2 linked regions of the Caenorhabditis elegans genome follow. The protein of the gene in region 1 purifies or fractionates together with the protein of each later gene. This does not show direct contact. Each region holds a gene or a part of one and is shown in the gene's direction. Other genes may lie near its edges.

The links. The genes of interacting proteins can lie anywhere in the genome.
Region 2: the proteins of ida-1 (region 1) and sbt-1 fractionate together in Caenorhabditis elegans (co-fractionation; one large-scale study listed by BioGRID). This does not show direct contact.

The regions. Positions count from the first base shown.
Region 1 is NC_003281.10:5,753,181-5,758,531, forward strand, and holds the start of ida-1 (Receptor-type tyrosine-protein phosphatase-like ida-1), read left to right. Parts: upstream 1-2,358; 5' UTR 2,359-2,414; coding exon 2,415-2,484; intron 2,485-5,351. UniProt on the Caenorhabditis elegans protein: Regulates dense-core vesicle (DCV) trafficking and/or secretion. Probably by controlling DCV trafficking, plays a role in the AVG neuron-mediated formation of the right axon tract of the ventral nerve cord.
Region 2 is NC_003283.11:20,826,328-20,831,678, reverse strand, and holds sbt-1 (Neuroendocrine protein 7B2), read left to right. Parts: upstream 1-2,797; 5' UTR 2,798-2,830; coding exon 2,831-2,902; intron 2,903-3,232; coding exon 3,233-3,564; intron 3,565-3,610; coding exon 3,611-3,842; 3' UTR 3,843-3,964; downstream 3,965-5,351. Other genes in the region: num-1 (PID domain-containing protein), read right to left, coding at 1,208-1,305, 1,700-1,868; grl-14 (Ground-like domain-containing protein), read right to left, coding at 4,012-4,260, 4,308-4,532, 4,609-4,753, 4,799-5,012, 5,065-5,290.

The DNA.
Region 1 (5,351 bases):
GGAAAAATAAAAATTGTTGAAGTCTAGAAAACTCTTCTGTGGGAACCTGTGACTACAGCGATTTATTTATATAAAAATTTCCAGAAAAATGTAGACGTGGCGGAGAACTCTAAAAAAACTCTTTCAAGGGAACCCACACCGTGGCCGACAATAGAGAGTTTCAGCAAAATGAACGAGAATTCCGAAAAACTCCTCAAATGATGAGACCGGAAATCTAGAAAAACATATTTCGGAGATGTCTGCCTCGTGGCGGGAATTCTGAAAAATATTTTCTGGGAATCTGTAATATGGCCGAGAATTGAAAAAAAAACTCTTCCAGGATTGTTGGCAATGTGGTCGAAATTTCTGAAACATTTTTCCAGAGCTCTGATATGTCTGTTTTAAAACCGTTCTCTAGCCTCCAACAACATGGACTACGTTCAAAAAACTATTCTAGAAAAAACCCTCGTGTGGCCCTGATTTCTTAAAACTTTTCCATAAACAGAGTTAAATCATATTGTTTAGTTTCCCATGCAGAAAGTCAGAAAGGTTTTGTATTAGTACAGTGAGAAATTTTGATTTTTCTGAATATATAATCTTGCATTTTGTATCTCTTCTACTAACATACACACAATTTGATTTTCCTCGTTTTTTCCCATTATTTCGTAGTTGTACAGCTTGTGAGGTGCCAGGTGTCTTCTTTTTCCTGACCAACACAAAAAATACATGGAAACACCAAATGCGCACATAAATTTATGGTTTGGTGACCGACTAGCTTTTAGACGAATTGGAAAAGGAAGGAATAAAGAGTGACTAGAAAATTAGTGGTCTCAATGAAAAATTGAGTGATGCAGAAGAGAGGATGAAGCACAGATTTGTATTATTTGAGGTCATCTGGATTAAGAGGGCTGAACGGAATGTGTGACATTTGATGGGTGGGAGGGAAAGAGCTTCCTTCACAATTTCCTATTTTTAGAATGGGAGATATTTTGTAGGATTTTCAAATGTTTTTTTCAGGAAATTTCAAAAAATTCCAAAAAGAGACTGCAAGAGTGAAACTTTAACCTTTTTGCAACAGCTAACAGGCCTTCAGAACTCGCCAAAACATTTTTAATCCTATAACCACCCCCATGGTAATATAAAAAGAGCACCACAAAAAAGCGTTGCCATTTATAACCAAAAAACGTGCAAATCACTAATAATATTTGACATGGTTTAACATTGAGTGATTAGTGTAGTATATCACTAGTCTATTCTAGAATACCCAAATAATATGTCATTCCAATTTGTTTACCTCACAAATATCTGAACATCGATGTCTTTTTCCATTCTAAATAGGTTTTAGATAGCGTCATAGATATGATGATAATAATCTCATATGATATGCGCATTTATTTTTTGAACTCAATATTTAATGTTTATTAAGAAATGTTATCAGAAGATAAAGTATTAGGAAGTTTCTTGAACTTTAGATGCCTTGATGATCAAAAGAGAACTTGAAATTTTGAAATTATCACAACGTTCAGCTACGGCGGGAATCCATAGAAAACTTTTTATGCTGTCTGTGCTTATTTTTAAGAAACCTACAAACACCCGCCGCCCATGAAACCCATGCCTGCCTTCCAGACGCCTCATGCAGCTCCTAAAACGTCTTCATTTAAGTGACAATGGTTCAGATAAACTTCCAGTTCCAACACGTAAGCTCCAGATTCTAATACTTTGCAGGAAGCTAGGCAAAAGATAGACATGTACGCATGTAGTTCTGCCTACTGTAGGCGTGATAAAATGAACAATTTTAATCTTGTTTTGTGATCCTATAGATTGAGATTTTGATATACCAACTTTCAGCAACTATGTCGATTATTCTAGTGTTGCGAATTTAGTTTCAAACATAATAATTTCAAATAATTACGGACAATTATCTCTTACGTTTTGCTTTCAAATTCTAAAGTTATACTATAATTGCTGTCCCCTTCTTTCAACAAAAAAATCAGTATTCAAGTCTCCAATTTCGTAGGAAGCCCTCTCCTGGTGTTCTCAAGCACCAACCAAATGCTCAGAACGTCAAAACAAGTGACCAGCTCGCTCGGAGCAGAAACTGCTTCTTACCACTATTAGTAGTCGTCCGTTGACTCCCCCACACCGCTCACTTCCAGAATTCAATCGATGCATAGAAAGAGAGAGAGAGAGAGAGAGAGAGAGAGAGAGAGAGAGAGAGAGAGAGAGAGAGAGAGAGAGAGAGAGAGAGAGAGAGAGAGAGGAAGAGATGAGGAGACGTCAAAAGAAAAAAGAGTGACGGAGACGTGAAGGGCGGCGCCGTCTGAGAGTAAGAGAGCTCAGAGAGTGTGTGTGCTCCAAGCTCCGCCTATCTCTTCGCCATTTTTTCGCGCAAGCGCCCTATGGAGTAGCGGGGGCCGCATCTCTGTGTCATCCGCATGCGCTTCTTCCACTCAATTATTGTACTACTATTCTCCATTTCTACAGGATCTGCTTTTCTTTTGTACGGTAGGTTTTTACTTTTTTTTAAATTGAAGTATTTTTTCCCGAAAATTGTCGCCTTCTGACTTAACCCGTAATCTTTCTTCTAATTCTCTATAATCACATGTATTCTCGAGTTCAAATTTTCATTTTATTATTGTTCTGTTTCTGATTATTTTGACTACATTTTATGAACTCTTTTTGTCCCCACCACATTCCAACGTTTTTTTTTTGAAACTTTATAAAGAAAAGTCCACTGACAAAATGTTGCGAATTTTATTTCATTCAAATTGCCAGTTGAAAAATTTTTTTATAGGTTTTTTTGTTGCTAAACCTAATTTAATTCCAACATTATTACTTTCCACCGCCCCTTTTAATTACGAATAAGTTAATGACTGTAGATATTTATATAAAAATTGAGATTTAAAAAATCAAAAAATTGTCTGATTTTGTTTTGAAACTCTTCTTTTCAATCATTTATAACTTATTTGTAACTTCACTTATAAAAAATTATCAACTGACAAAATTTTGAATTTTTTAATAATTGTTTCTTGATAAAAAATCTGATGGCATTGGTGGCTGACTTTCGAACTATGGTTTTAAAAAAATCAATTTCAGATTTGTTTCAAACAGATTTTTTTTAGTGAATACACATGTAATTAAATTTCCATTTAAAATATTTTGGAATGTTTTTTCTATACTTTTTTTGACAATTTTCTCTACAGTTTTCTACAATTATTAAGATTCTAACCAGAATATTTGAAGTCTGACGTCACAATTTGTTCTCCAATTTTCCCCATTTCTCACAATTCTTCCAGAAATTGGACATGCTCTTCGATCGCTTCAAAAAGAGCAATTTCGAGTCCAAAAATGTAGTCGTTTTCCCATATTTCTTCCATCTTTTTTCCTTTTTTTCACATTTTTTTCTCATTTTGGTTTTGTTTACCACACATCTTCATCCTTTTCCAGTACCTTTAAAATACTTGTTGTTTTTCGTTCGTTGCTTTCCTTATTATTTTCCACACTACCTTTTTTTTATATTTTCTAGGTTGTAAATATTCTTATAAGACAATTATTCAATACACTAGAGGGCTCTTTGATCGTTCTAAAAATGCACAAACTAATTTTGAGGAGTCTCAGAGCTCTCCCTCTCTTTGAGCTCTCGGAGCATCAAAAGAAGTAAAGTGGAAATTGGAAATGTTTCTGAATGAGGAAGGAAGACCCTGTTGGTTTTACGAGCTAATGAAGCCCTAGACACTAGTTTTAATCCCGAAGTTCACAAGTTCCAAATTGATGACTTTTTTGAGGAAATCTAGGACTTCAAATTAGTATAACTTTGAACTATAAAATAATAAAATATCTTAAAGTATTTCGAGAGTAATTTAGGCAATATGTGTAGCTTGGATGGTAAACTAAATTAGGAAAGTTTGTGATAGATTTTTTGTTTTTAGGAATTATTTAATTAAAATACTGTTTATACTTTTTGTTTTCTGCTGAATTTAAATTGATTACTTTGTTGACAACTTTTTGATTGCTCAAATGATTTTCGAGCTAGATTTGTTGAAAAAAGTTATGGGAATTATAAATTTCTGGTCAATTTTCACGAGAAATTCTCACGGAAATTTGATTTCTGGCAAGAAGGTGTGAGAAGTTCTAGGTAGTGGAAAGTTGACAATCTGAAAATTTTAGCAAAAATTAGCTAAATTAAATGCAACAATTTCGCAAATTTGTATGCATATGTTGCTAATTTCGACTAGTAATAACTGTAAACCTTCAAAATAAAATTGAACTCTTGACACTACTAGCCATAAATCAAATACTTCTTCTTCTTCTTCTTTTTTCAAAACCCACTTGGTCAAGTCTAAGACAACAAAAACCTTCTAACATCATTGCCCCGGACCCTTATAAGTAGCCCAAAGTTGATTCTATTTATTCCTTCTCCTCTCTCTCACTCACTCTTAAAAAAGAACGACTACATCTAAAAATACGTCCTCCGAGCAGCATTGACTCCCCCGCCATGGCGTCATATTTATGTGTGTATGCTTGTTGACAATTCCCCCACCACCAAAAGTTGTCTGATCTACATCATTGCCCTTTTTTCAACAAAAAGAATGCTATCATCAAATTCTTTACTCATTCTGACTCTTTTTGCGTGACAACTGTTTCCGCTATTCAAGAAGCTATGGAAGGGATAACAAAAAAAAGAGTTCCGATAGAATATTCAATTAGGTTCGCACGCCTACCAGTGATGTCACGTTGTGTCTAGAAAATGATTTAGAAAAAAAGCTTAGCTCTCTTGAAAATGCTATGTTTTTGTAAGTAGATGATAAATAATATTCCTAGAAATTAAGCATATCTGCTGATTAACAGGGTTGGAGAAAAGGAGTCTGGAGTCTTCATAGCCGGTGGAGCGCACTTGCCTTTTTAGAATTTTTAAAACTTTGGCAAATGCTTGAAGCTGGCAAATTTAGGAATTGCAGACGCTCTCTATTACACATGAATTCTTGACTCTGAATAATATTTCCACCTTTGTGAGCAATTTTCCTTATGTTTTCTTACATCTGTTTCTCACATTTCAATTCCTTATAGCCTTTTTTTTCAGCTCGCAAAGCACAAAACACACTTAAAATTTTTCTAGTTTTTGAACACCTGTATGTTTTGGAGAATGGGAATATATTCAGTTCGTTTAAAATTGGAAGACAAAAGCGTTCAAAATGGTCAATGAACCGTTGCAACAAGAAAAAAAATAAAAATGTTAAAAAAACATTGAAAATTAGATTTGACACAAACTGTCAATTAACAATTTTTGAAAGCTACCTTACCCAGGGAGACAAACGGATTCAAAAATGGTGTACTGGTAAAAGATCCTTCAAAATTTGAGCGTTTGTATCTCT
Region 2 (5,351 bases), on another chromosome or scaffold:
TCAAATGAACAATTCATTATTTCATAATAAAGCTTCTGAAAAATGTTTCAAAAATTTTTTACGGCGGTTCGAAATTTCAAAAAAATAACACTGTTTTTAGTTAAATTCTCGAACTTTGGCCATTTTTCTGAGTCGCAGCGGCCCGATGATGACTTTTGAATTATCGTCCTTTATTAAATATTTTCGTTTATCTCACTTAATTTCGTCGATTAAGGTGCATATGAAGCCAATAGGTAATCAAAAATCATCGAAATAGGTTGCCTATCGGCTTTAAATATTCTTTAATCGACGAAATGAAATGAGTAAACTACAAAAATATTCAATAAAGGATGATAATTCTCAATTCGAGATTTTAGCTATTTAAAAGCAGTGTATTTTTTTCGAAATTTTGAATCATTTTTGAAACACTTTTGAGAAGTTTCATTACAGTGTTTTTTTTTCCAACTTCTACGACTTTAAAGGCGCGCGCATTTATACAAAATGGCCCCGTCATTGGTCTCGCCACGCGCTCAACAATTCAATGGAATGCGCGTGGCGAGAACATTGCGCGAAAATGCGCGCGCCTTTAAAGTCGTAGAAGTTGGAAAAAAATGCACTGTAAAACATTTGCTCATTTGAGCTCATTTTGGGTCTACTTTCAAAATCGTTAGTCCTCCTCTAAAAAAGTTTTTACCTGATTTTTTAAAATTTTTTACTGAAATATAAAAAAAGAGATTCCTATAATTTTTCATAAATGTTCTAGGAGTTTTTAGCGTTTGTTTTTCAACGTATTCTGTTAAAATCCTATTCTTAGAAAAGTTGTTCCGCCGAATTCCGACATGAAAAAGTTTTCGAAAAATTTGTCAAAAAAATGTTTTGAATTAAAAAAACAATTCTAACAAATTTTTGTTTACAGTATACTTTTTGTTTAAAGCATACATTATAATATGAAAATTAGTCTACTAAAACGAAATGGTTGGAAAGCAAATTTTATTTCGTGCAGTGAAAAATGAATTTTTCAACATTTTGTGTATGATTAAAAATTAAAACCTAACATCTCATACCTGGCATACCTGTCACGCAGGCATCAAAATGTCAAGTCACTGTTCAACTAATCGTGTGCAACATCATGCTTCTCACCATTGATAAAATTCTATATTTTCAGAAACTTTTGTTATATTTCTTAAAACCCTATATCTCGAATCCGAACTTTAGTATGACCACTTACTGTATCACACAACATCAATCTCGGTGCAGTATATCTAGACTCTTGATCCCAATTTCTTGGTCTATGCCTCATAAACGGAACAATCATATTGTCGAATTCTGAAAAAAAAACTTGTTAACGAATGTGCGAAATTAATTTTTTACAATCAGTGCCAAAAAATATTCAGAGTATCGCGACAAAAATAGCTGATTTGTGCAGAAACTGAATGTTCCGCCTCCTTTTCACCCGATTTCCGACTGTTATCGCCGTTGATAAAGGAGGTCATACTATAGACAACCCCTTTTTCTTACGTGTGATAGAGGGAGAAATACGGAAATTTTGTAGGGAAATAAGTCGTTGCAGACGTCAATGATCATTTTGAATTAGCAACATGTACGGATGGAACTTTAACTTTGCTCACGAGTATTTGAGATAGCAGGTTTGAAATTAGCACATTGCTTAGCGTGTAAACTATTAAAGATACCAGGAAAATACTATTTTTCCAAAACTCACCGCATTTATCGTAAACCCATATTGTAGAGGTGGCACTTCTTGAACTGCGATCCAGACCATCATACTTTAAACCAAGAATAGTTTGTTTGTGAAATCTAAACTCTATTGGCGGACGACACTTGTAAAACATAGTGTTCGATGAACCTTGCTGATGAACTATCCAATTCATAATAAAGTATAGTCAAGAAGGACTCTCGAGTCAAAATGTAAACATAAAATAAGTTTTGAGATTAGTAGAACCCAGCTTGTTCCCACGGTAGTACGTATCCATAACACTTCCACAAAGATCAATGTGAGTAGTCAATACAATTGTGATGTTACAAAAAACTTTACTTTAATTATTTTCTTAAATTTGATGAAAATTGATATTTTCACTTGCGTTTTTTTTTAATTTTCAATCTTACAATCAAGGTGGTTAATTTTTTTTCTTTGTAAAGAATTAACGGAAGACCTTGTAAACTTAATGATAAGATAACTGAGATTACAAAGGAAAGTTCAAAAAGTTAATAGTTTGAACAGATGAACTTATTACATGTTCAAAAAGTCAACATTTGCGTAACCAACATGGGTGAATTTACTTGCGAATTACTACAAGTTATTTCACAACAACAACATGGAACATGGAACATGGTTAAAAACAGGCTGTGACATTTTACAATGTTTATCCGATGAAAAACAATGTTTCATTTTAAAATAAATTAATTGTTTGTACAATAATCGTTGTCCTCAAAATCTTTGAAACCCCATAATATATCCTGTTTTTTATACTTCCAAGTATTAATCATAGAAACGAATAGAAGAGCTTTAGACCTCCTTTCAGTTTTTTCTTCTTCATCTTCCTCCATCTTGTCCAAAAAAATGACGTGCGAGAACACACTCACATGAAAACTCACAAAACACTCACACAACGCCTTCAGCTCATCGATTTTCCTCGAAGCCGTCAGCCATGAGCGAGGAGAAGAGCACATGAGCTCCTCTCTCTTCAGCGTCTTTACTCTGCTGTTCTGCGAGCCTCAAAATCCTTTCGGTCTATAACCGTCTGTCTGCTACTCTGGCAGTCGGCTCTCTTTTCGTCTGCCAGGAGAGCCAAAGCGACGCATTCACATTTCAGCACCAAACACGGTTGCCCGAATGATCGGTGCCGTTTCTTTGGTTTTCTTTACTGTCGGAGTTGCAGCTATCTATGGATTAGATTTGGAAAACGTAAGTAAACTCATATTTTGTTTTGTAGGCTTAGTGTTTTTCTAATTCCTGAGCAAGTGAAATAGATTTTGAAATTTTCAAATATTACTTTTTTAACGATTAAGGTATCTGTATTAATTTTCATATATGAACTCCAAAGCCTCAAACTGTGAAAGTTGAGTTTCAAGGATTGCAAATTTATTTCCGCCATAATCAAAATTTTTAGTGATGACTCACACTAAGATTATTATCTAGTGTTCCTAGTCCATTTTTTTTCGGATTAAGGATACTCAAGGAAAATTGAAGAAAAGGTATACATTTAGTCAGCTTATTCAAAATTCAAAATTTCAGGCTGGAGACTTTGTTCTTCCATCCGGAGATTTCATTGATCTCATCTCACGTGACTCTGAAAATCTTCCGGATCTCTCCTCTTTTGGAGTCAAGCATATCTCTGGTGGAGCTGGCGAGGGAGAACAGAAACTTCTTGAGGAGGACAATTTCCAAGAGAGGCAAGAAGTGAAAGTAGACAACGTTCTTCCCGCATACTGCGAGCCACCAAATCCATGCCCAGTTGGGTTCACAAAGGAACACGGATGCTTGGAGGAGTTTGAAAACAGTGCAGAGTTTTCTAGAAACTACCAAGCAGATCAACACTGCATCTGCGACCAGGAGCATATGTTCAAGTAAGTTTGATGTGGAACATTTAAATTAAACATGTAAATGTTATAGCTGTGCCGAGAAAGAAGCTCAAGACGTCAGTGAGTCCCTCCAAAAAATCCTTGAAGAAAACAACATGCACGCTAACACAATCGCAAAGAAGTTCCATGACAAGCGAAGCTCCGATGAGTATGTTCCACGTCGCAAGCGTTCAATCCCAAGCTCAGCACACAAAGTCAACCCGTACCTTCAAGGAGAGCCATTGAGATCCATGCAGAAGAAGAATGGCAAACATTCGTGGTAAAAAATTCCTGAACATTTTTTATTTGATAATCAAAAGCCTTTTATTGCCTATCCCCCTGTCCATCATCCATCGCGCCCACCGAGTGTAAATTTCTTTACCCGAAATAAAACTTTATTTCTGTTAAACATTCACCCGTAGAAAAGAAGTGGACCGAGCTATTCAATAAGAATTAATTTTTGCTCAATTTAACTAATTTTTTCGAAGTCCTTTTCTGCTGATTTTGAGAATCAATTTGACAGATTGGTGCAAAAACATAACAGTTGACACCACCAGACGATGCCAGACAGAACTCATCAGTGTGTGCAATGTAGCTGAAGAAACCAGTGCCGCAGATTGCATCAAAAAATAAACCAGTTTCAGCTTCAGCTGCACTTTGAACTGCTCTTTTGGAAGCTTCAGCATCGCCGGAAACAATATTCTGGAACTCGATTTAATTAGAATTCTGTTAATCATGGACTTACTTACATTGAAGATAATGTCCCGTAATCGCTGGCTGTTGCATTTATCTTCATCCGATTCTGGTTTGCACTGACCATTTCCACATTCATTCGATGGCTCTATAGGTGGTGCAAAGGTTGAATAAGCAACAAATTGGCTTGATGGTGTCGTTTGTTGATAGATTATTTGTGGCTGGGGAGATGGAATTGGTGGCAAAATATGGAGTTGAATTGGTTGTGATGATGGATTTGCCTGAAAAGAGATGCTGGTATTTTATATCGTGCTTTATTATAATAGTTTTTGATTAAATGCGTTTTTCAAAATATACAGTTACTAGGTATGAAGCGACAGCCACGGGTACAGTATTCGAAGCATGTGATGGCTGATTAACGGGTGAAGCAGAAGGAACGTAGACAACAGGCTGCCGATTCGTAGTACGGTAGGCATATCGAATCTCTCTTGGGGGGTAAGGCCTAAAGTTATAGAATTTTAAAAGTCAAAGCGATACTGATGATCACTCTATTGGACTCCCTTGTTTTGTATCCACAAAATTCGCAGCTGGTTCCAACCCGAGTAGTGGAATCAAGTTCCCATTCTGATCTCGCCCATAGGTTTGATTAGGTTTTCTAGTATTCAATGACTGCCAGTTTGGTTCAGTTCTGGAGAGAATTATTTGTCGGTTTTTGTCCATTATTGTAGGAAACCCATCATTCATTTCGACTACATCATTTACTGGAAGAAAATTAAAACATTTGAGTTTTAAAAGTTATTAAAAGTTGCTCACCATTACTTTTTCTAATCATCCTCGACAATTTCGGCCTATTTTTAAAAGCTTTGTACAGTTTCATTCGGAAATCTCTGATGGAATCCATTTTCTGTTCGGATGTGATCCTCCCTTCACTTCGAATTTTTGATGTTGGTGCAGTGGCTAATTGAAGCTCTTCTTCGGGATTGCTCTCCCGTGCGTAGGGAATAAGTGTTGGGTACTGTGTGGGGAAAGGCTCAGTAACCTGAAAACGTTTTTTGTTTAATTTTATTTAAGCTTAGGTTTAGGCTTAGTTTAGACTTAGT